Linked DNA regions of Danio rerio. The protein of the gene in region 1 purifies or fractionates together with the protein of each later gene. This does not show direct contact. Links are inferred from orthologs where the notes say so. Each region holds a gene or a part of one and is shown in the gene's direction. Other genes may lie near its edges.

Region 1 (11,151 bases):
AAATATTATATGCATTCAATTATTTCAAACTACTAAAATGTCAGGAAAAGTCACTTTGTTAAACTTTGTAGTTGAATTTTTAACATCAAAAGTCAATAAAGCAGAGGTCCCATAATGCAATTCACAACCTTAAATAAATAAAACATTTATGAATCACAAAATACTGTTAATTAGCAGATTTCTTTTACAGCTCTGAAAAAAAGATGTCTGCAAAACTGTTGCAAACAATTTATTTGTGTTGAATTTGAACAAATTAAAATTGGTAATGTTCAACTTAAATTGTTTGTTTAAAATCAGCCCAAATAAATTGTTTACAACCACTTAACTTAAAAAAAGAAATCGTAAATCCAAGGAATCATCTTTAAATAACTATTTTCAGTATATTCTGTGTGGAAGGATAGTATATGTTTACTGTATTCTTTATACTGTTACAGTTTTTGTAAAAAAAACAAACAAACAAACATAATGTGTACCAACTAGGCTATAGTAAAGTATACTTTTTCATTTCTTGACTCTTGGAAAATGTCATTGGTTATTAATCAAACTTAATAGCAACTCTTTTATAACGTGTAGAAGATATAACGAGTAAAGAGTACAGGTATTCAATCAAAAATGTAGAGTGAATAGTAGAGAGTAAAAGTTGCTTATATTTTTAATACTCAGTACAAGTACAAAGTAGCCAAAAACATACTTAAGTAAAGTAACAAAGTCCATTAACTTAAGTACTTTACACCACTGACAATGACCCAGCAAACAATTTTGTGTTTAACAGACGTTAGACATCTAAACATAGTCGTCTTGGCTAAAACAAGGCTAAACTTGGGCTGTTAATGAAAATCTAATAGACATTTTAGAATAGCCCAATAGAGTCGTCAGACATATAGAGACAGATTAGACTTTTCTGTTTATTTGATGACTAGTCTAGTTCTGACCTATTCTTAGATGTCTATTAGATTTTCACAGACAGCCCAATTTTAGCCTTGTTTTAGCCAAGACTACTATGTTTAGACGTCTATTAGACATCTATTACAAATCTTTTAAAAACAAAAAACGCTTGCTGGGGACTTACTATGTCAATTGCACATCATGGTATCGTCCAGTAGAGGGCCCCAATAAACTTCCAAGAAATGTTCCTACCAACATGCCAACAGCTATCTTTGCATTACATTTTTTTTAATCTTTGCTGAGGCTTTATCTCTTTCAGAACTTGCAGGGTTTTTTTTTAAATATGGGAGCTTTGCAATATTCTGAGAACTTTCTGACCATACAACTATACATATTGTGTACACAGATGAATTAATTAAAGCAATGTGTTTTGCTACTTTTGTACTTTTTGTCTTATTAGTTATGTAAAATCCCTGTCCATTGAGACAATCCCCTTTTCCTTTTCCTTTTCTTCGATGTGTTCAAAATAATGAATGCTTTCTCTCATTGAGTGAATTGTTTAACGTGACTACATATATTTTAATTCAGCAATTTATTTTTAAAAGGTAATAAATTAAACTATATGACTAAAAGGACTAAAAGCATTACATTTTAAATAAGTAACTCGCATATTATTACTTTAAATAAAGTGATGTGTTACTTTGCTCGTTACATTATAGGATCGTATTATAAAGAATTATAAAAATCACACAATAATAATAACAATTAATGAAAAAAATAAAGAAATTAAATACAATTTTAATAATTACTAATTTTTGAGATTGAGATTTGTTAGCATTAAGCATTGTTAGCTGATATTATTAAGATATATATGTATATAAAAGTTTTTTTGGATGATCGCCCTGTTTAAGATCACAATAAAACAAGTTTTTACGTATAGGCTGACACTGAGACTCATTAAATGTCTTTGTAAATGCTTGAATGTTTGTGACATTCATTCAAAGCCACAATTTATTTTGAGTGCTGCTAGCAATGATCACACATAAATAGATAGACCACAAGACAGCTCAGACACTGAACACCTAGTCATATACTGAAAATAAAAACAGTTACATTTTGGCTGGGGTTGATGGTAACATTTCACTTTTACAATTCATTTTGTTGTTGGTTCTGACCCAGAGTCTTGTAGCCATGAATTTGCTCACCTTACAACTAATATCTATAACATTATCACCAACATTGGCACGTAGTTTCATGTGATTTGGGACAGTGTTTGGTTATTTTTGGAATATGGTTAAGCAAAATTTGTCTTTAATAAACATTTCAGTCCCGCTCGCCCCCTCTATTTTCATTTGAAATTATTTTTCTGATATCGAGCTTAACAAAATTCAGAAGTGTGTTTTTAGCTGGCCGGACAGCAGCCAAGAAAATAGTTGTGACAAGATGAAAGCCTCCACATTCTCTTAATCAACACCATTGGATTTTAACTTTTATTGATATTGTGTATCTGGAAATGTCCACTGCTTGCATGGTGCAAGAGAGCACACCATCAGACTTTGGGCACAAACTTTGGAATAGCTTAAAAGTTTACTAATTTAAATCAAGGAGAAATCAAAAAGCAAAACTTTTGTTTCCAAGGCCACATATTTATTTTATTTATTTTTTAATTATTTATTGATTTATAAATTTTTTCTCTCGTTATTATTTTAATATCTTTTCTTTCTCGTCATTGTAGTTGTTTAAGGTTCCCTGTTTGGGCTTTTAATAACCTTTTTTCATTGTTGTAGATCTCTTTCAGCACAGTTTTGATTATCTTAATCTGTTTCTCTTACTATTCTTTTTTTTTAAATTCATTTTAACTGGTTTAATTTTACCCTTACTTAACCTTTAATACAGATTTGGTTTATTGCTTTTTTATTTTGGAAACTTGTTTTATGTCTGTATCTGTGTGTCTGTGTATATGTACATATTATTTTTTCAGTCTTCGTCATTTATTCTTCAGTTTTTCCTTTTTGTTGTCACTGTTGTTGTTGGCATTATTATTAATATTATTATTTACCAACCTGTAAATTGGTTGTTACATGTATATCTATGCACACTGCTATATGTCGATCGTCTATGGCATGTTTATTCTTTGTTCACATAATTCAAAGTAAACAAAAAAATTGATGGAAATAAAAATCACCACCATTATGCAATAAAAATATCTACACAGACACACAAGTGACATCATTTAACTTTGATGGGTACAAATCAGATACAAATTACAATCTCAGAAATAACATTACTTTCTTAGCTCAAATATATTTTATCCCCTTCTAAAATCGTCTGTGTTTGCCCTAGGACTCATATCTGGAAAGAGAACTATGAGCATCTGTGAATTGAGTTGACTGATTTGTAACTAGTCCATAATTGTAGTAATTTACTACAAAAGTTACATTTGAAAGTAATGCATTACAATATTTAGTTACTCCACTAAAAAGTAACTTATTGTGCTCTTTAGTTACTTTTGATGGTAAGTAATGCGATCTGTTGCATTTGGGTTACTTTTGCTTAACTTTTTATTACCTTTGCTGAGGCTTGATCTCTTTCAGAACTTGCAGGTTTTTATGGAGCTCCGAATTAACAATGCACTGCATAACCTATTTAACTTTAGAAACACATAAAGAAAAAAATGAGGATAATCTTCTATAAACTTCTGCAACGTTTCTACTTTTTGTATTATTAGTTATGTAAAATCTCTGTCCATTAAGACAATCCCCCTTTTTCTTCAATGCATTCAAAATAATGATTGCATTTTCTCATTGATTTCATGATTCAACATGACTACATTCATTTTAATTCAGCAATTTATATTTAAAAGGTAATTAATTAAACTAAAAAGTAACTAGCATTACGTTTTTAAAAAAGTAACTCAGATATTTTTACTTTATTTTTTTTTAAGAAATGCGTTTAACGTCAACCAAACACTGGTGGTTACAACTGACAATCCAAATGTAATCCACATGGTGGGGCTGTTTCAAAAAATATAAAGGGTCAGAGAGGACATTCATTAGTTATTTTAATAAAATGCACCGAGACCATGCAGTTTAACACACGCAATGTTTTTTGCAATACGACTGTTATGATTTAGGCCACTTACACTGTGATTCACTCGACCCAAAATATAAAAAAAATAAAGATTCAATGCAGGTGAAATTAGTAAAAAAAAAAAGAATAGGCTACATATAAGAATTTTCTTTCTGATTTTTAATTTCTTGTTATCTTCACCACTAGCTTGCTTGATTTGTGACTTGTGGAACTGCGCGTTGATGGATTTGCTTTGCAGTGTTTGGACTTTCAGCAGTGAAAATTAAACCACACTGAACTAAACTGAACTTCAACTCTGAAAACTGGACTGATTTACTAGAACTGCTAAGCTGCTTTGACACTATCTACATCGTAACAGCATTATATAAAGAACATGAATTTAATTGTTATAGCTATACACTATAAGGGCCCTAATGAAAAGATGAAAAAAAAAACCATAAGTTCAAATTTCCACAAAAACTACCATTAAAACAGTAAAACTTTTTACCAGAGCATTTTAATGACTTCTAATGTGTTTCGGCACACATTAGGGTTTGTTTAGTGGTTTTAATACCACCCATGGGGACCATTACAATTTCAATTAAAACCAATACAATTACCATTATAACCATTAAAACCATTATGCATTCTATGAGATTTTAGATTGTTTTCTTTTCAGCAGGGGCATCTGAAGAAATAGGGGTTTGGTGATGTTGGAAGGTCTGTTAATGTAGAGTAAGATGTGTAATTATGAATAAATAAATCTATTTGATAATAAAATAAATAATAAAAATTATATATATATATATATATATATATATATATATATATATATATATATATATATATATATATATATATATATATATATATATATAAATAAATGTACATTTTTATCGGGAAGCTATACAATATTATATTTGTGCATAAACATTAGATTAGTCGGTACTGAAGCCAAATCTGGAGCTTATCTATCAAAATAACTTACAATAAAAGCCCAAAAACTAGTACACCCAAACTTATTTATTATACAAAAATATTAAATGCAAATTTTAAAAAGAGGACAAATCAGGAGAAGATTTTTTAAAAACAATTTTGATTAAATTTTGTAAGTTGTATTTTTTGTATTTTTTCCACAATGTTTTGCTTTAATTTCATTGTGTTATATTTTAATTTTTAAATATGTTTGGTAACTAAAATATTATTTTTATAAATGTTTAATAAATCTGCTTTGTTTAAATATTCATTGTCAAAATGGGGGTGTACTTAATTATGCTGAGCACAATATAAAAATATTTTTTTGTATTGAATGTCAAAAATATATTAGCTATGACAAATAAACAAATATAATAAATAAATATTAAATTAAATGAATAATACAATGTGAAACATTTAGCCATTAATATTTTATTTCCATGAATAATATAGATTGTGCTACTTGGGTCTTTTCCAAAGATACTTTTAACAATTTTTTGGATGGAGTCCATTGCATCTAAATGTACAAATTATAAAAATACCTCCTGATATTAGTCACTTTTAACCTATTACAAAATAAATCTCACAACTGTTTTGACTTTATAAAAAAATTGTGCTTCCAATGCTTTAACATATTGACAACTAAACAATAACGTTACCCTGCTGCAGGAAGTGAATAAGCAAAAGAGGAGCATATCAAGCCAATCACCACCTGAACATATATTTCCAAATTAACACGTTTCTTTTTGGAAGAACTGTAAAAAGAAACAGTATCTTTTCCGCCAAAAATACATTTCCCAGAAAACTTTGCGTCAGCCACGGAGGGGCGGGGCTTGTCGTCGTAGCGGCTCTTGCGTTAGGAGAGTAAAATGTGTTTGACAGGAATCTGAACGAGAGGAGGGGGCGGCGGCACACGAGTGGAAATCCGCACCTTCAAGAGATCGCCATCACTTTTCTCCCCCTCGTCAATCTCCAGTCGCGTGCGGTGCGTTAACGGCGGGGAGGCGAATGCGGTGAATTATTAGGAGGCTCAGCAACAGGGCACACAGAGTACAGGATGCCGCTGAGTGAATCGACCCCGCGCGCGGGGAGCTCCCGCGACTAGCGCCGCGCAAAGTATCCAAAAACGAGAATGCGAATGGTTAGAGAAGACAGCATTCAATTAATATGGAAACGATGTAGCTTCACCGCCGCATTGCATATAGCTCGGGGAAACAGGTTAGAAAGTAGATAGCTAAACAAGGCGCATTTTGCCGTCATACATGCAAACTTAACGTTACTCATCCTCGAGCTCAACTAGCCTGTAGTTTGGCCGCAACAAAAGGAACAGCTGCTCGACAGCGTCTTCAGATACCAAAGAAGACGGAACAACTGAAGATGTTACGGAGGAGGCTCAACCGATTGGTATGTATGGCACTCTGCTGCCGCTCACTTACATCTCACTTAAATCGAGCAGGTCTATCGAGGCAACATCTCAGTTTGTGCACAAGTTGGACGGCTTATTTAAAAACCAGGGAGCCACCCTGCAGAAAGAGCTCCTCTGGCTGACCACAAGAGTTTTTAACACCACCAAAGCTGTAATTACTTGAGGTATGCAGGCAACTTCCTGGTAACATGGACCAGCTGTTGCTAAGTGAGTCGTGTCACGCATATTAGCCATTCAAAGCGCGAGTTTATAGGGTTTAGCAGCTGGAAAATATTTTTTAAGAAGTTGACAGTCACTTTTGATTGAGCCTGGACACGTTAGGACTGGGGTTTAGACGCTGACGACGCCTCTTCTGTTGTGAAGATAATGGTTTCAGGCAGCTACTTCTGATGTGTTCTGCCAATTTTTTTTAAGTTAAGCTGCATTCCTGATAGTGTTAATCAAATAATACTGCTCGCTCTTGCAAGCTAAGCCCTTTACGTGTTGTACTTGAATCCAATAATTAATTTCCTAATGCCCTTCATTGCTGTCGCAACCTTTTAGATGGAAACTTTATTTGGGCACGTGATGCAGTAATTCTGCTTTTACCACATAATTGCAGAGCATCAGGGCAGAGCTCTTGAAGTTGAATGCTGGCTTTAAGATGAAGCCTTTTTTTAGTCTCAGCCGTTTTGGTCTGTGGTTGTGGGAATACTTGTAATCAAATTTCTCCCTGCTTTTGCTTCAATTATTGTTGTAATTCACCATTGCAAATGAATTCAACACGCTCCTCGTGTGCTTGAACTAATGCTTCACCTAGAAATAAAACAAAATATTTACTCACCCTCATGCGATTCCAGACTAACATAAATGGAGATAGCATGAGTTATTCTTCACATTCATTGCATGAATAAAAAGAAATGCACGGAAGAAAGAATCTCATACACGTCTGTCGGAACATGCCAGTGAGCAAATGACTGCACCATTTTCATTTGGGTGCACTCTCCATTGTTAAAGTGTTGGTTTTATTATGTTTGATTGCGAGTTACTTGTCTCATTCGTTAATTTAGGGTCAGGGTGACCAAACCACATCATTGTTTGGGTTGTTATATTTGCATAAGTTTAATATTTGGTCATGCTTTACCACTTTAATTCTAGTCGTTAGGTCTATGTTACTGAAATGTACAATTTTCTGTGAAAGGAGCAGCCTTGGACATTAGAGGAAAATCTCGATTGCAACTGACTATATTGACTAACTGCCCGACAACCATCAGTGTGAATTTGTGAAGCAATCTGTAAGTGAAATTATACAGCAATTGCACTTCTAAACTTTAATTTTTGTGGTTGAGGTGGGTCAGAGCAGGCACATATTACTCTGGTTTTCATGTTGGCTCTGGTTGGGCTCATGTCGGAGGCAGTTTGCCCGATTCAGCATGTTGAGTTGTCATAGGGGGACTTACAGTTGAATTTTTGCATGCAGAACACGCCTGCTATTTTGCAATAAGTTGTACTTCTTTCTCTAGTGTATTCAGGTGAAGCTTTTTGGCCAAGATGCAGTTCATGCAAGCCCTTAACGCGGTCAAATTGTGATGCAGTTAGATCTTTGAAGTCGGTTTGGTTTGTCATGGCCTCAAGATAAAAGAAGATACCATCAGTCACCCTTCACTTTCATTGTATGAAGCAATGAAATTGCATAGAAAAGATTCCATGGAAGAAAGAAAAGCATGCCTCTTTTTGCGACAGCACAATGGTGATTAAATGATTGCACCAAATCTGATGTGGGTGCGTACTTTATTATATGTGCTTATGTTAGATCAGATCTGATGTATTGTAAAGTTTTGATTGTATGAAATGTAACTTCTCTGTTAGGGCTAATATTTTATCCATTCCTTTTGGTATTTCTATGTCTGTGACTGTATGAACCGCATCCTCGCTTGCTTGCTTAGTCTAATTGTATTTACATAAGCCTTTCAATTTCCGTCATAAGGTTTATGTACCTGAAGTTATTTGCAATTTACATTCAATGAAGGCAGCCTGAGCTGTAGAAATAAATAATGATTGCAACTAAAAACGCTGCTACCAACCACTTGATCCAGCAAAAGTTCTCTGAGGTTGCATGTTTTTAGGGGCAGTTCACACAGAAGAGGTTTTGCATTCTGCTCTTTTGTTTTTCCATTGTTTTTGAATGTAAATGTGCTAGACTTACAGGTTTAACCACTGTGCTTTCCCGATATTCCTTTGGCAGCTTCCTGCAGGTAGACTTGGCATACTAAAAAGACAGTTTGTACTTTTTTCACATTCAGAAATCCAGAAACATAATCTGTGGGAAGTCAGTTTCAATTTTCAGGCTTTTCTTTTTATGTTTTCCAAGTGCATGGTACATATTTCATTAGGAATCATTCATCTGTATTTGTTTTGAGCTAATCATTTTCTTCAGATTTCATTTAATTCAGATTTCTAGCTAGTGAAGTATGTAGGATGACCCCAATCTCTAAGGTCAGATATACACACAAAATGCACAAAACGCTTCAGAAGTGTAACTGTAGGTGTCTTAACACTGAGCACAAATCCATTTACAGTGGTGGTGTACTAGATCACAAATCTCACGGTTTAGATTACATTACGATTTTTGAGTTATGCATCGGACCATTTTTGGGAGAGGAGATAAATGTAATTTGCTTTCAATTTATTGCAAAAACGTTAAATTTTTGGTTTTAACGAACAAAACTTTGAACCTGTAATTTTAACAACCCTACTAATATTTGGTACTGAGGCATGCTGAGAAATCCAGGTTACTTTTGAATTAGTGGTGTAACGAATCACAAATCTCATGGTTCGGATCATACTATGGTTTTTGAGTCACTGATAGGACCATTTTTTGGATCAGCAAAAAAAGGGAATTGACATGTCATTTGCTTTTCATTTATACAAAAATATTACTGCAAAAAACATTGGTTTTAACCAACATAATTAGAAACTGTTGTAAAAATAAAAAATTTAATTAAAATCAAGATGGAACCAGCTGAAAAAAGGAAAATATTCAATACAATAAATGGTCTTTGCTACTGTTGCTGATAGTGCTAAATATAAAAATCTAACATCTTGTACAACATATTATATGTATTTTCAATTAATGATTCAACAATTCACAAATAAAACTTCCTGTTTCATTATTCACCTTATTCTTCGCAGACGAGCGGGCGCTGCCATTTGAATCTTTTTGGCTTGAGACTTCCAGTCTCATTCACTTCCATTCATTTTTTGACCGTAAAGCAGCTCGTTACGCTGCTTGATGTTGCAATTTGATATTTTCTTATTATATTATTCTACTTGGTCTGTATAGTCATGCAAACATTTGTTTGTAGAGCAAGTAGTTTGATCGTTTTCTGCCGTTTATTATTCCTAGTCATTTCTCCCATAGGAGACCATAGGCGTTTCTCCCATAGGCGACTGAATCGGAAGTTCTAAGACAATCGCGAAAACAGGCGCACTTCCGCATTTTAGAATAAGGTCAATAGGTGGATCATTTTTGAAAACCTATTCAGTAATACAAGTTCGATGATTGTTTGTCGCCACCCATTGGTTACACAATGTAATTCCTACAACATTAAACATTCACCAGCGTCTAGTTCTATTAAACTGTGATTTTAATATTTACCACAAACGTCAGTGTTTATATCTGAACTGTAAACTGTTCTCCCAAAACTTCTGTGTTATTTAATATTTTGTAACTAACTATAAAAGTGTAAAAACCGAATCTCTCACAAATGCAGATATGAATGCACTGCTTAGAAGGATTAATAAACCTATGTAAATCATCATTATTTATTATTCATGTTGTGTAGATTTGAATTGAGATCACAGTCTTTTAATGCTTAATTGTGCAGCTTTACACTTAATGCATTAATGCAGGCTAAACAAAGAGTGACAGAAAACACCTTTTAATTAACAACCTAAGAAAGCCTTTAGGTCCCACCACAACTTTTTCCGTCATCATTATATTTTACAGGGAAGCCAAAAATGCTTTCATACATGTAATTTGAATGATGCGGGAGGCGATCTCTCAGCAATTGTTATACATGTTGGATTAACCTACAAGTTTAAAAAAATGTATATTAATCCGCGGGCCGTGGGTTGTGATTTGTACAGATCAAAGATCAACCATGATCCATTACACAACTATTTTGAATCCTATGTTTCTTCTTCTGTTTCATGACTTTGGTCCAGGTTTATTTTTTTTAAAGGGTCATGAAACCCCCCTCTTCCAGTTCAAATATACCTTGTGTTTTTTTTTTGTTTGTTTTTTTTGAAAAATGCATCTTACACGGGCATGTAAAGCAGTAAAAAAACAAGCAAGGATGGATCATCTGTCAGTGGCTCATAATGACTTTATCGAAAAATCTGAATCTTACCTACTTTGTAGGGACAGAAAAGTCCTCGCACACTGGAACATTTGAAAGTCATGTCGCTCAGTGTTTATTTGCAGTGTGAATCCACTGACGGATCAGCTGATAGACTCAGCTTTCAAACTGATGATTATTAGACCCAAAAACAGCCATATCTGTTGATTGTGTGAACACAATGGTCGATCAACAATGCTCAATAATCCACTCTGCAGCTCTCAAAATCCCCAAAAATTCAAAACAGACTCTTAGAGGTCTACGGACAACATAAACAGTGCCTCAACCCATCATGAATGCTGAACTACTGCACGGTCTTACAGCTTGGCTAAATAATTCAGAAATAATTCATAGGGTAGAAAACTTGGTCTCATGAATAATAATCAGACACTGACGTATCATTGAAGTACTCCCGGT
Region 2 (10,502 bases), on another chromosome or scaffold:
TCAGATATTTTTACGTAGCATAACTCCCGCAAACTCCGACAAATCATCAGTCTTGCCCGGGAATGACTATTCTCAACTTTGGATGTCTGTCCATGCCATGTCTTAAAAATATGAACATTTTTTTTTACGCCAGATTATTCAAAGGAGCTTTTGTACTAGCCTGCTGATCCTGACAGCTTGTGCTGGTAAACGGTCTTTCATCTCATTTTATGCTTGACCGATTAAATGTCTGTTTAATTTAATAAGTCTGTTTAACTGACTATATTTTAAAAACATTAAAACATCGATGCTGTAAAAGAAAAAAAACATATAAAATTGTACAAGCCACATTAACTGTTCACCAGACGTTTAATAATATGGGAAGAAACGCTCGCTGCTGTGCATATACCCCATTGTTCACCTAAAGAATAACAATGTGCGCTAGCAAAATGAGCATTGTAAATTTTGATTTCACCTGGACTTTAAATAAAAATTACATTTTGTATTTTCTCCAGCAAGATACAAAGGATGAACTACCTATTTAGTTATTGAATGCATATTAAACACGTTTAAATTAAAATACTGCTCATCTCTGCATCACTGATTTTCTATTTCAGAAACAAACAGGAACATGCAAACAACAGCAATAATAATAATAAAGACACAAATGCATACCAAACATATTAAAATACCGGTAAAAGAGCATAGCATACTGTATTAAGAGATTATCAGGGGAATAAAAACAGTTGTTTTTATTCCTTAGTCGTCATGTGATGCCGTCACAGCGTCGCTGCAAGTCTATTGGCTGCAGCACTTCCTTGTTTATCGCCTTGTCCACATCCTACTAAGCGCTACGGAAATAATCTCCATCGTTTAATGGCGCGGTCATTGTACCATCAAAACCATCGATAGCGGCGATATAACACACGCTGTACCCAACCAAGGACATACATTTGAAGTTGTGCTCGTCTTTGAAGGATTAAAGCGCGATGATGGCGTCCAGCTATAACGCGAAGGAGGAGGACGGTCATCATCCGGGATTGGTGGGCTCCGGCGGCCCGGGCGCCGTCAAGAGCAAGAAGCCGGACAACACGGCCTTTAAACAGCAGCGTTTGCCCGCCTGGCAGCCCATCCTGACAGCAGGCACCGTCCTGCCTGCCTTCTTCATGATCGGACTCATCTTCATCCCCATCGGCATCGGACTCTTCGTCACCTCCAATAACATCAAAGAGTTTGAAGTGCGCAACTTCACCATAGTACCGTCAGGGCTGTGCAGTATGACAATATAAAATGTCTATCTATTCATATTCTATCGTTAAAATAGTTAGTTCACAGCAAAATTGACAAGCAAAAATCATTATTTACTCACCCGTTGCTTGTTTTTAACCTTTGTGAGTTTCCTTCAAATGTCGAACACAAAAGAAGATAGCTCGAAGAAAGCTAAAAACCTGTAACCATTATTAAGGATAGAAGTAAAGTTTCGGATTTTCAGACATTCCCCTTAATAATATCATTTCAGAAAAGTATTCATTGCAAATTTTAAATAGGGAAATCATATTAGCAGCAAATGACTTTCAAAGTACAACATTGTTCACAGTCAAATAAACAGTGTTAATGTTGTTTTCAAGTCACACTTGCATGCTAATTCAGATCGGATATTTAAAGTAACATAGTAAACAATATATAGACTGCTAAATGAACGAATGTGTGAATATAAAACCAACTTTACCTCTATTTATTAAGGTAAGGTCTTATATTCGCACATTCGTTCAGTGACAACTTGTGACTCGCTCCCTATATTGTTTACTATCATATTTTGTATACATTAAGGGAAATTTGGTTTTATATTTACGCATTGGGACTTATTATAATTTCAGAAAGAATTCTTTGCTCTAAATAAATAAATAGTGAAATCATGTTAGCAGCCAGTGACTATCAAAAGTACATCATTGTTAACAGTCAAATAAATAGTGCTAATATTGTCTTGATGCCGTACATGCATGCAATTTCAGATCAAATATTCAAAATACCATGGTAAAAAAAAATTAGAGAATATTACACAAGTCACTGAACGAGTGTGTGAATATACAACCAACTTTACCTTAATTTTTTTATATTTGATTTAAAATCACACGTAAGTATGAGTTTCAAATAACATTAGCACTATTTGTTTGACTGAACAATGATAGAAGTAAAGTTGGTTTTATATTCACACATTCTCATTAATAATAAAGTCTCAGAAAAGTATTAATTGGAAATTGTAAATAGCAAAATCATATTAGCAGCCAGCAACCATCAAAGTACAGCATTGTTCACAGTTGATTAAATAGTGCTAATGTTGTTTTGAAGTCATGTGATTTCAGTCCGGATATTCAAAGTACCATGGTAAACAATGTATGGAGCTGTCAATGAATGAATGTGTGAATATAAAACCAACTTTACCTTTATTGAACAATGTTGCAGTTTGATAGTCACTAGCTGCTACTGTGATTTTACTATATAGAATAAGCAAATATTTCTTTTTGAAATTATATTGTTAGGGAGAAAGTATGAATGTGTGATTATAAAACCAGCGTTACCTCAATGTAACCATTGTCTTCCATAGTAGGGAAAGTGATAATGTGTATGTCAATGGTTACAGGTTTTCTTTTGATTTGTGCTCAACAGAAGAAAGAAACTCAAAGTTTTAAACGTATATAGGGTGAGTAAATGATGACAAGAATTAGCATTTTTGGGTGAACTATACCCTTAATATTGTATTGTTACAAAATTTATTGTTTAATACTTTTCATAATTTTATATAAGCGTAATATTATACGCCATTATGAGGATAAAGACAGAAACATATTTACATTTTATTTAGCAATATTTTATGCTCAGCCTATAAATCATTAGTTTATGAATTTTTTTTCTAAATTTCATTAATATTTAATTATAATTAGAAACAAATACACTGAAGTTTTAATCTGATCACATATTAATGAGTAGATTTTTGAGTAAATACTTAGGAATTTACAGAAAATTATATATATATATATATATATATATATATATATATATATATATATATATATATATATATATATATATATATATATATAGGCAAGACAGTGGCGCAGTAGGTAGTGCTGTCGCCTCACAGCAAGAGTCGCTGGGTCGCTGGTTCGACAGTTGGCGTTTCTGTGTGGAGTTTGCATGTTCTCCCTGCCTTCGCGTGGGTTTCTTCCGGGTGCTCCATTTTCCCCCACAGTCCAAAGACATGTGTTACAGGTGAATTTGGTAGGCTAAATTGTCTGTAGTGTATGAGTGTGTGTGTGGATGTTTCCCAGGGATGGGTTGCGGCTGGAAGGGCATTCGCTGCGTAAAAACTTGCTGGATAAGTTTTCGGTTCATTCTGCTGTGGCAACCCTGGATTAATAAAGGGACTAAGCCGACAAGAAAATGAATGAATGAATTATATATATATATATATATATATATATATATATATATATATGTCATATTGCACAGCCCTACAACATAAAATAGTAGCATCGTGAATAGTAGTTTGATGTTATTGTGTAACTTGTGCTGTTGTTGTTTGTGTTGTAGATCGACTACACTGGTGTCGACATGTCCAGTCCGTGTTACAACTGTGCACAGAACTACAGCTGGAACAGCACTAGTGTGTGCACTTGCACTGTTCCCTTCACACTAGACCAGCCTTTCGAGGTAAACACACTTTACACTGCTAGACCTACATCATATTTGTGTGTTTCTGTGTTTTATTTTCTAGATCTGAAGTTTTTTTTGCTGCGATGTTGCGGAAATAGAAACTGTTTCTAAATTAGAAATTTCGCAGTCGCAGATGGTTAAAATAGAAACTCCTTTTAACTTGAAAGAGACATATTTTATTGCGTGTTAGGACACTGTGTTACACTTCAGAAAATGTTTTTCTTTTTAAAAATCAAAGATCTAAAATTTAAATAAAATATAATAATCTAGAAAGCATTTTCTAGACAAGTAAAAAATTATTTTTTTTTGTTTTTAAAGAAATAAGTCAAAATAAAGTTAGTTTTTCCTTAAAACAAGCTAAATAATCTGCCAATGCGTTAAGTTAAATAATCATGTTTTTTTGGTATGAAATAAGTTTATCTTACTTAATTTATATATATATATACATATATATATATATATATATATATATATATATATATATATATATATATATATATATATATATATATATATATATATATATATATATGGTTAAAAAAAGATCACTTTAGCAGGTTTAATCAAAAAGATACTTAATGCATTGCTTAATTATCTATACATTATCTATAAATCGAACAAATGTTTTAAACAAATTAATTAGCAAAAGAATAACTGCAGGATTACAATAGAATTTTATTAGTTATTAACTCCATTTAATAAAACGGTTACAACTTTTAAACCAGTGTACTATAGATTTTACTGCAGTAAACTGGTCTATTGTTGTTTATTACACCCTATGAAGTTGTAAAAATTGTACTACAATATTCATTTGTTTCTGTTATTAGTTGTTGTATTACCAGCAACTTACTACAACAAATGAATTCAACTACTTTACTATAGTATGATTCAAAAACACTATGTATTTTACCACAGAAATTGTTTTAATGTGAGTGACCTTTTATAAAGAAAACTGAGTAGCTAAATTATGAACTATATTCAGTTGTTGTCTACAAATTACATAAAAAAAAACAGATAACACATTTATGGAAATGTAATCTGACTACATTTGGATTACATTTAGATTACTTTTGTGCTTGCAGTTTGTTGAAAAATATGTTCATTTTGTCAGCAGCAAAAGCCTTAACAGATGAATACTTCACAATACTAACAATAATATACCTCTCTGTTTGTTTATGATTATAGTAACACAGGATAATACGAAGTCACATTTTCTGAGTTTGAAAGATTTACTTATATTAAAGCACATTTAGAAATCAACATCATTGTCACTGCTACATCAGTTATTTCATTAACAAAAACCTATAAATGCATATGAAGGTATCAATGAAAAGCATAGCAAGCGTGAACTAATTTAGAGATATATTTAACTCTAGCTCCATTATGTTGTATATTTGCTTTGTCTGCTAACCGTTGGATGGTCAAACAAATCACCTAAAGTGCCATTAGCTCTCATGTATTATGCATTAGTATATTTAGAGGACGTTTTATTGATCGCACCTTTTAATATGTTAAAAATAGAATTGTTTTCCGCTCTTGTTATAACAGAGATCAGTTCAGATGATCTATAAACAACACTGAAGTAGCCTCAGTATAAAAGATTTTATGGCTGGTGACTGGATGTTATTTTAACCTCTAACTTCTTTTTTTTTTGTAGAGTAATGTTTTCATGTATTACGGACTCTCCAACTTCTATCAAAACCACAGACGTTATGTCAAATCCAGAGATGACAGTCAGCTGAATGGAGACAAAAGCTCTTTACTGGTGAGTGTTTCGACATATGCTGACTAAATGTTTGACTTTGACTTTAGTATATTATATTTAATTTTGTTTTGTGTAAACTTATAGTTTAATATTGGTGCATTTTGTGAGATCTGATGGTATGGAAATGCTTGAGGCCCAAAAGAGAAGTGGTAACAACAGCCAGTAAGTTGTTGGGAACAAAACTAAAGAGTATACTGGTAGTGTATACAAAGAAAGAGCATTACAAAAGGCTATCATGATTGTCAATGAAAGCCTTATTATATATATATTATATATATATATTTGGTGACGCGACTGACGTGACATGCTTTTCCGCTCAGAGTTTACTTTTGTTTAATTGTCGTTTGCATATTGCAAATATGTGTAATTAGTGTAAACATGGCCCTAGCAAGCATACTTACTGAATTGTTGAATCGAGTTTGTACGTTGTCTTCAAGTGTTTAAATCTTTTGTTTTACAGAATCCGAGTAAAGAGTGTGAACCGTATCGAACAAGTGACAGGAAGCCCATTGCTCCTTGCGGCGCCATTGCTAACAGTCTCTTCAACGGTAAGACTGAAGGCTCATAATACTAATAACCCAGAGGAGTAGCGGACTGGCCCGCAGGGCACGCTCCGTGGGGGGGCCCCGCGTGATTAGGGGGCCCCACGTTGTCGCGAAAATCCGGCAACCTCAATAATCAAACTCTTGAAAACAACTGTGGTCGGAACCAATGTTCACAGGTCTGTGTTCTCTGAACTCCTCTCAACCGGTGGACTACTTCATTATGATTGCCGCCGAACCGAGTCAAGCTCGGTCATAGCTCATACCATAAAGTTGACTTGATTTCAACTCTCCTCGACACTCACACAGGTGAAGACGCGCCGCGATGTTTTTCACCGCCGTTTCTCATTGAAAATGAATCACTTCTGGCTACTTTGACGCTCTCGCCGTTTTCGGTTTGTGATCGCTCCTCAGTTTGTGAAGGCTTCCCTGTGTTGTCGCCCCCCCCCCTTTCCCGCTCTTTAGTTTGTGATCGCTTCTCAGTTTGTGATCGCTCCTCAGTTTGTGAAGGCTTCCCCGCGTTGTCGCTCCACCCCGCCTTCCTTCCCTGCTCCTCAATTTGTGATTACTTCCCCGCGTTGCCCCCCAACCAACACCTCTCCAACTGGGGGCCCCGTCAGTGATCCCTGCAGGGGGGCCTCCCCATTTTGCGCTACGCCACTGTAATAACCTTAATGATACTTAGTGCCTAATATGGCTTTGAATATTACAAAGGCATGTTGCTGTTTTAAATGCTTGATAATAATTTTCTTTCAATAGTTTAATTGTTCATTTAGACTATTTAAATAATATTTCCTCTGTGCTAAACCAATATTGTTATTTTAATAGTTGTTTATTCTTTGTGTGAATTAGATATGCACCAAAACCATTTTTTAAGATACTTTTTTTCTTTTACTCGCTGGTACTGATGCCTTTTTTGGGACGTGGCAGTTTTCGAAGTAATGACATTGTAAAACAAATTTTTTTTCTTTGTAATTACGAAAATCTGTAACTCCTTAACACAAGTTTTTTTTTATTTTTATTAATTATCATCCCACTTTATATTAAGTGTACTTAACTATTATGTACTTGCATCAAAAAACTAAATACAATGTACTTACTGGGTTTATAATGTATTTTGAGAACACTTGTGGTGCTTTTCAGTTGGGATAGAGGTTGGGTTATGGGCAGGTTTGGTGGTGTGGGTAGGTTTAAGGGTGGGTTAAGGTGTAAAGGATTGTCAACAGTGTATTAACAAATGTAATTACAAAAGTTAATTACAGATGTAATTACATACATGTATTTGATCAAACATGTACACAGTAAATACATGCATTTACACAATAAGTACATTGTAACAAACTATTAAATCCTGTGTAAGTACATATTAGTTAAGGCCACTATTAAAAAGAGACCTTAATTTTTATTAATTATTAATTAATTCATTCATTTTCCTTTCGGCTTAGTCCCTTTATTAATCAAGGGTCACCTTAATGAGGTGGACTCGGCTCAATTGAAACAAACCCTGGGTCAGATTGATTGTAGTGAGAAAGCAATACGACTCAATAAGCCAACGAACCAGGCTATATCACAGTGTATTATGCATATGTAAAAGCCATATATATGGCTACATGAAGGGAGAATTATGAGTAGGGTGGGATGTCATTCCTACCAATAACATGGTGTCATGTCGAATACGAAAGTGAAAGCATGCTGAAATATTACCGAGTGCTGTTTATTCGTTTGGAAAATTTACAGAATTAAAGAACCATCTGACATTTTTCCCATATTTTAGTCTCATAATATTTTGTATTAGGCCGATTGTTTTGTTCATTTCCAACATTTCTTACAGTGAAGGCTAACAATTGCACCTTCAACCGGCGGCAGTTACTTTTGCACTTATGTGTACTTTTGCATGCTGTTTAAATGAAGAATTAGCACAAGTTTATTGAGAATTTGAAGGTCGGTCATGCTGCTCATTGTAAAAGTATATAAATAAACCATTTAATGTCTGTCAGAAGCTCGGATCAGTAGACCCTATAAACAAAGCTAATGCTAACATGCTCTAGCGGCTTTCTATGAGCCTCAAAATAAATATTCACTGCTTACTCAGGCCTTAAGTCTGTTTGTTTGCTCTGTGTGATTCCTTTATGTTTGTAGATACACTGGAGCTGTTTTATATCCATCCAAACGGAAGCAAAATCGGCATTCATCTGGTGAAGACAGGCATTGCGTGGTGGACTGACAAACACGTCAAGTTCAGAAACCCAGGAGGAAGCAACAACAACCTCTCCGTTGTTTTCCAAGGTACAACTCAGAAGTCTACTCGATCATTCGGATGTGTTTAGCAGGGCCTTTCAGCTCATGTTTCACATTTCTTTTTGATTAGATTTTTTTCAGATTTCAAGTAAAGATGTTTTATTTTTATGATTTATTTAAAATTTTAGTAGGTTTTCTATTTATTTTTTTTATATGAATACTTTCCGGATGCACTGTACATCAACACATCTCTCTTTTTTTACCCTGAGTCTGTAATGTTTGTCCTCACAGACACCAGCAAACCTGTAAACTGGCGTAAGGCTGTCTACGAGCTGGACCCGGCTGATCCCGAGAACAACGGTTTCGTCAACGAGGACTTGATCGTGTGGATGAGAACCGCTGCTCTTCCCACGTTCAGGAAACTGTACCGCATCATTCAGAAGAAGAAGGACACCATGACCCCAACACTACCGCCGGGAAACTACAGCCTGGAGGTCGCCTACAGTATCCTTCACCAAACCCACACAAAGCCTTGTTCACACCAAGAATGAGCTATTAATGCCTTGTTTACACTGACTGGTACAGTACGGTACGGTTCGGGTCGGTACGGGTCACCTTTATCAGGCTTGCGTTTCCACTATAAAGGGTACCCTTTTGGTGGGTGTAGTGTAAGACAGAAAGTTTCAGTCGCATCATTCTCGCTCGAGGAAATGTCTACAGTAAAGCTGCACAGGTTCACGTTCACATATCATATTAAAAGCACTTCTCACAAAACAGATGCTTTACACACATAAATACTTGTGTATAAATGTTTATTACTAACTTTTCTATGAACAGGATTTGATTATAACTGCAGATCAATGACAGTGCCAAATAGCCTACTGTAACGTCTGTAATTATATAAAATAAATACATAAATGAACATATATGAACACATACAGCCCCTGACAGTCTCCGATGTTACCAACTACAGAAAAACTACACACATCAGACATTTCGTTCTTAATTGGGTTCAAAACAACACAAAGTATAGCCTACAGTCAGTGAAAACCTCTCATCTGTGTCTGTAATCTTCAGCAGCACATGTCATGTAGCTTCTGTTAGAGAGTTATTCCATCATTCCCCGTTCATTTTAGTCCAAAAGGTGATGATAATAATTAAAACAAGATCGTTTGTTCACGTTTGCTGAAGAAATAATGTGCTCCGTTTTTTTTCCGCGCTCCACTCTCGCGTTTGTCCTTTTCTTTCTGAATGTGTCATTCTCGCGTTTGTCAGCTTCTCACGGGATCGGGTTTCCAAAGCACGTCAATAATCAAGCGCACACTATTATAATCAGCTCAAGAAGTTTGTTATTTCAGATATAGACGCGCGGCGAGCGCAAGGAAGAAAGCGAAACCGCTCGCGCGTCAGACTGGCTCGTAAAAAAACTGCGAGGCACAGGGTAGATTCCGCTCTACTCCATGACTGTGTGGCTGTTCATCATGACGGTGATATATGAATATATAATTCCGCTGTAATCTCTCGCTGTGTATTTCAAACATGGCGGGTCCTTTGTTTACATTCTGGCTTGTTTTAAGTGAATGACGTATCTCTTCTGTAAACCAATAGCGTTCAGCTGCGCGTCTAGCTCAGCCTTTTGGTATCCTTTCTTGTGTTTGGGACCCTTTCGAAAGGGTCCTGAAAAAGTGATTCTGTACGCCTTTTGACAGTGGAAACGGCCATAAAAGTGTACCAAACCGAACCGAACCGTACCACTCAGTGGAAACGGGCCAAAGGATGGCAATAATAATGATTACAGTGGGGGAAATAAGTATTGAAGATGTCATGTTTTTTTCAAGGGAATAATATTTCTAAAGGAGATGTTGACATGGAATTAAACCAGATTTTCGTAAAAACGCAAACATTACAAACATAAATCAAAAGAAAATTTAAAAAATGTGTGTAATAACAATGGAATGACGCACTGAAACGTATTTAAAACTTTATATAAAAATGGTGATGGCAGCTTAAAGGGAAACGGAAGCAGTCAGTTAAGGTTACGTTATTTTGTAAATTAATTTTTTACTTTAATGAAAATGTATAAAACAAACTCGACTAATGTAACCTTTTTCAAGAAAAGGGGATGTTTTACTATAGCTTCTAGACCTAGGGCGCCACCATCTTGGAATATCGCTGTGTCTGACTTCACAGGGTTGGTTTTGTTCCCTCAGCTGAACAGATACAGTAGAAGTAATGGACCAAACATTGAAACTGGACAGCCTAGT

What was found.
Region 2: the proteins of atp11c (region 1) and tmem30aa purify together in Homo sapiens (co-immunoprecipitation; 4 studies listed by BioGRID and IntAct, with this or other methods). This does not show direct contact. The link is inferred for Danio rerio from reciprocal best matches to the Homo sapiens genes ATP11C and TMEM30A.

What each region holds. Positions count from the first base shown.
Region 1 is NC_133189.1:37,170,168-37,181,318, reverse strand, and holds the start of atp11c (phospholipid-transporting ATPase IG), read left to right. Parts: upstream 1-5,800; 5' UTR 5,801-6,306; coding exon 6,307-6,333; intron 6,334-11,151. UniProt on the Homo sapiens protein: Catalytic component of a P4-ATPase flippase complex which catalyzes the hydrolysis of ATP coupled to the transport of aminophospholipids, phosphatidylserines (PS) and phosphatidylethanolamines (PE), from the outer to the inner leaflet of the plasma membrane.
Region 2 is NC_133192.1:56,060,242-56,070,743, reverse strand, and holds the start of tmem30aa (transmembrane protein 30Aa), read left to right. Parts: upstream 1-782; 5' UTR 783-968; coding exon 969-1,217; intron 1,218-3,570; coding exon 3,571-3,690; intron 3,691-5,350; coding exon 5,351-5,458; intron 5,459-5,918; coding exon 5,919-6,006; exon of another isoform or gene 6,007-6,309; intron 6,310-6,501; exon of another isoform or gene 6,502-8,139; coding exon 8,140-8,286; intron 8,287-8,529; coding exon 8,530-8,742; intron 8,743-10,502. UniProt on the Homo sapiens protein: Accessory component of a P4-ATPase flippase complex which catalyzes the hydrolysis of ATP coupled to the transport of aminophospholipids from the outer to the inner leaflet of various membranes and ensures the maintenance of asymmetric distribution of phospholipids.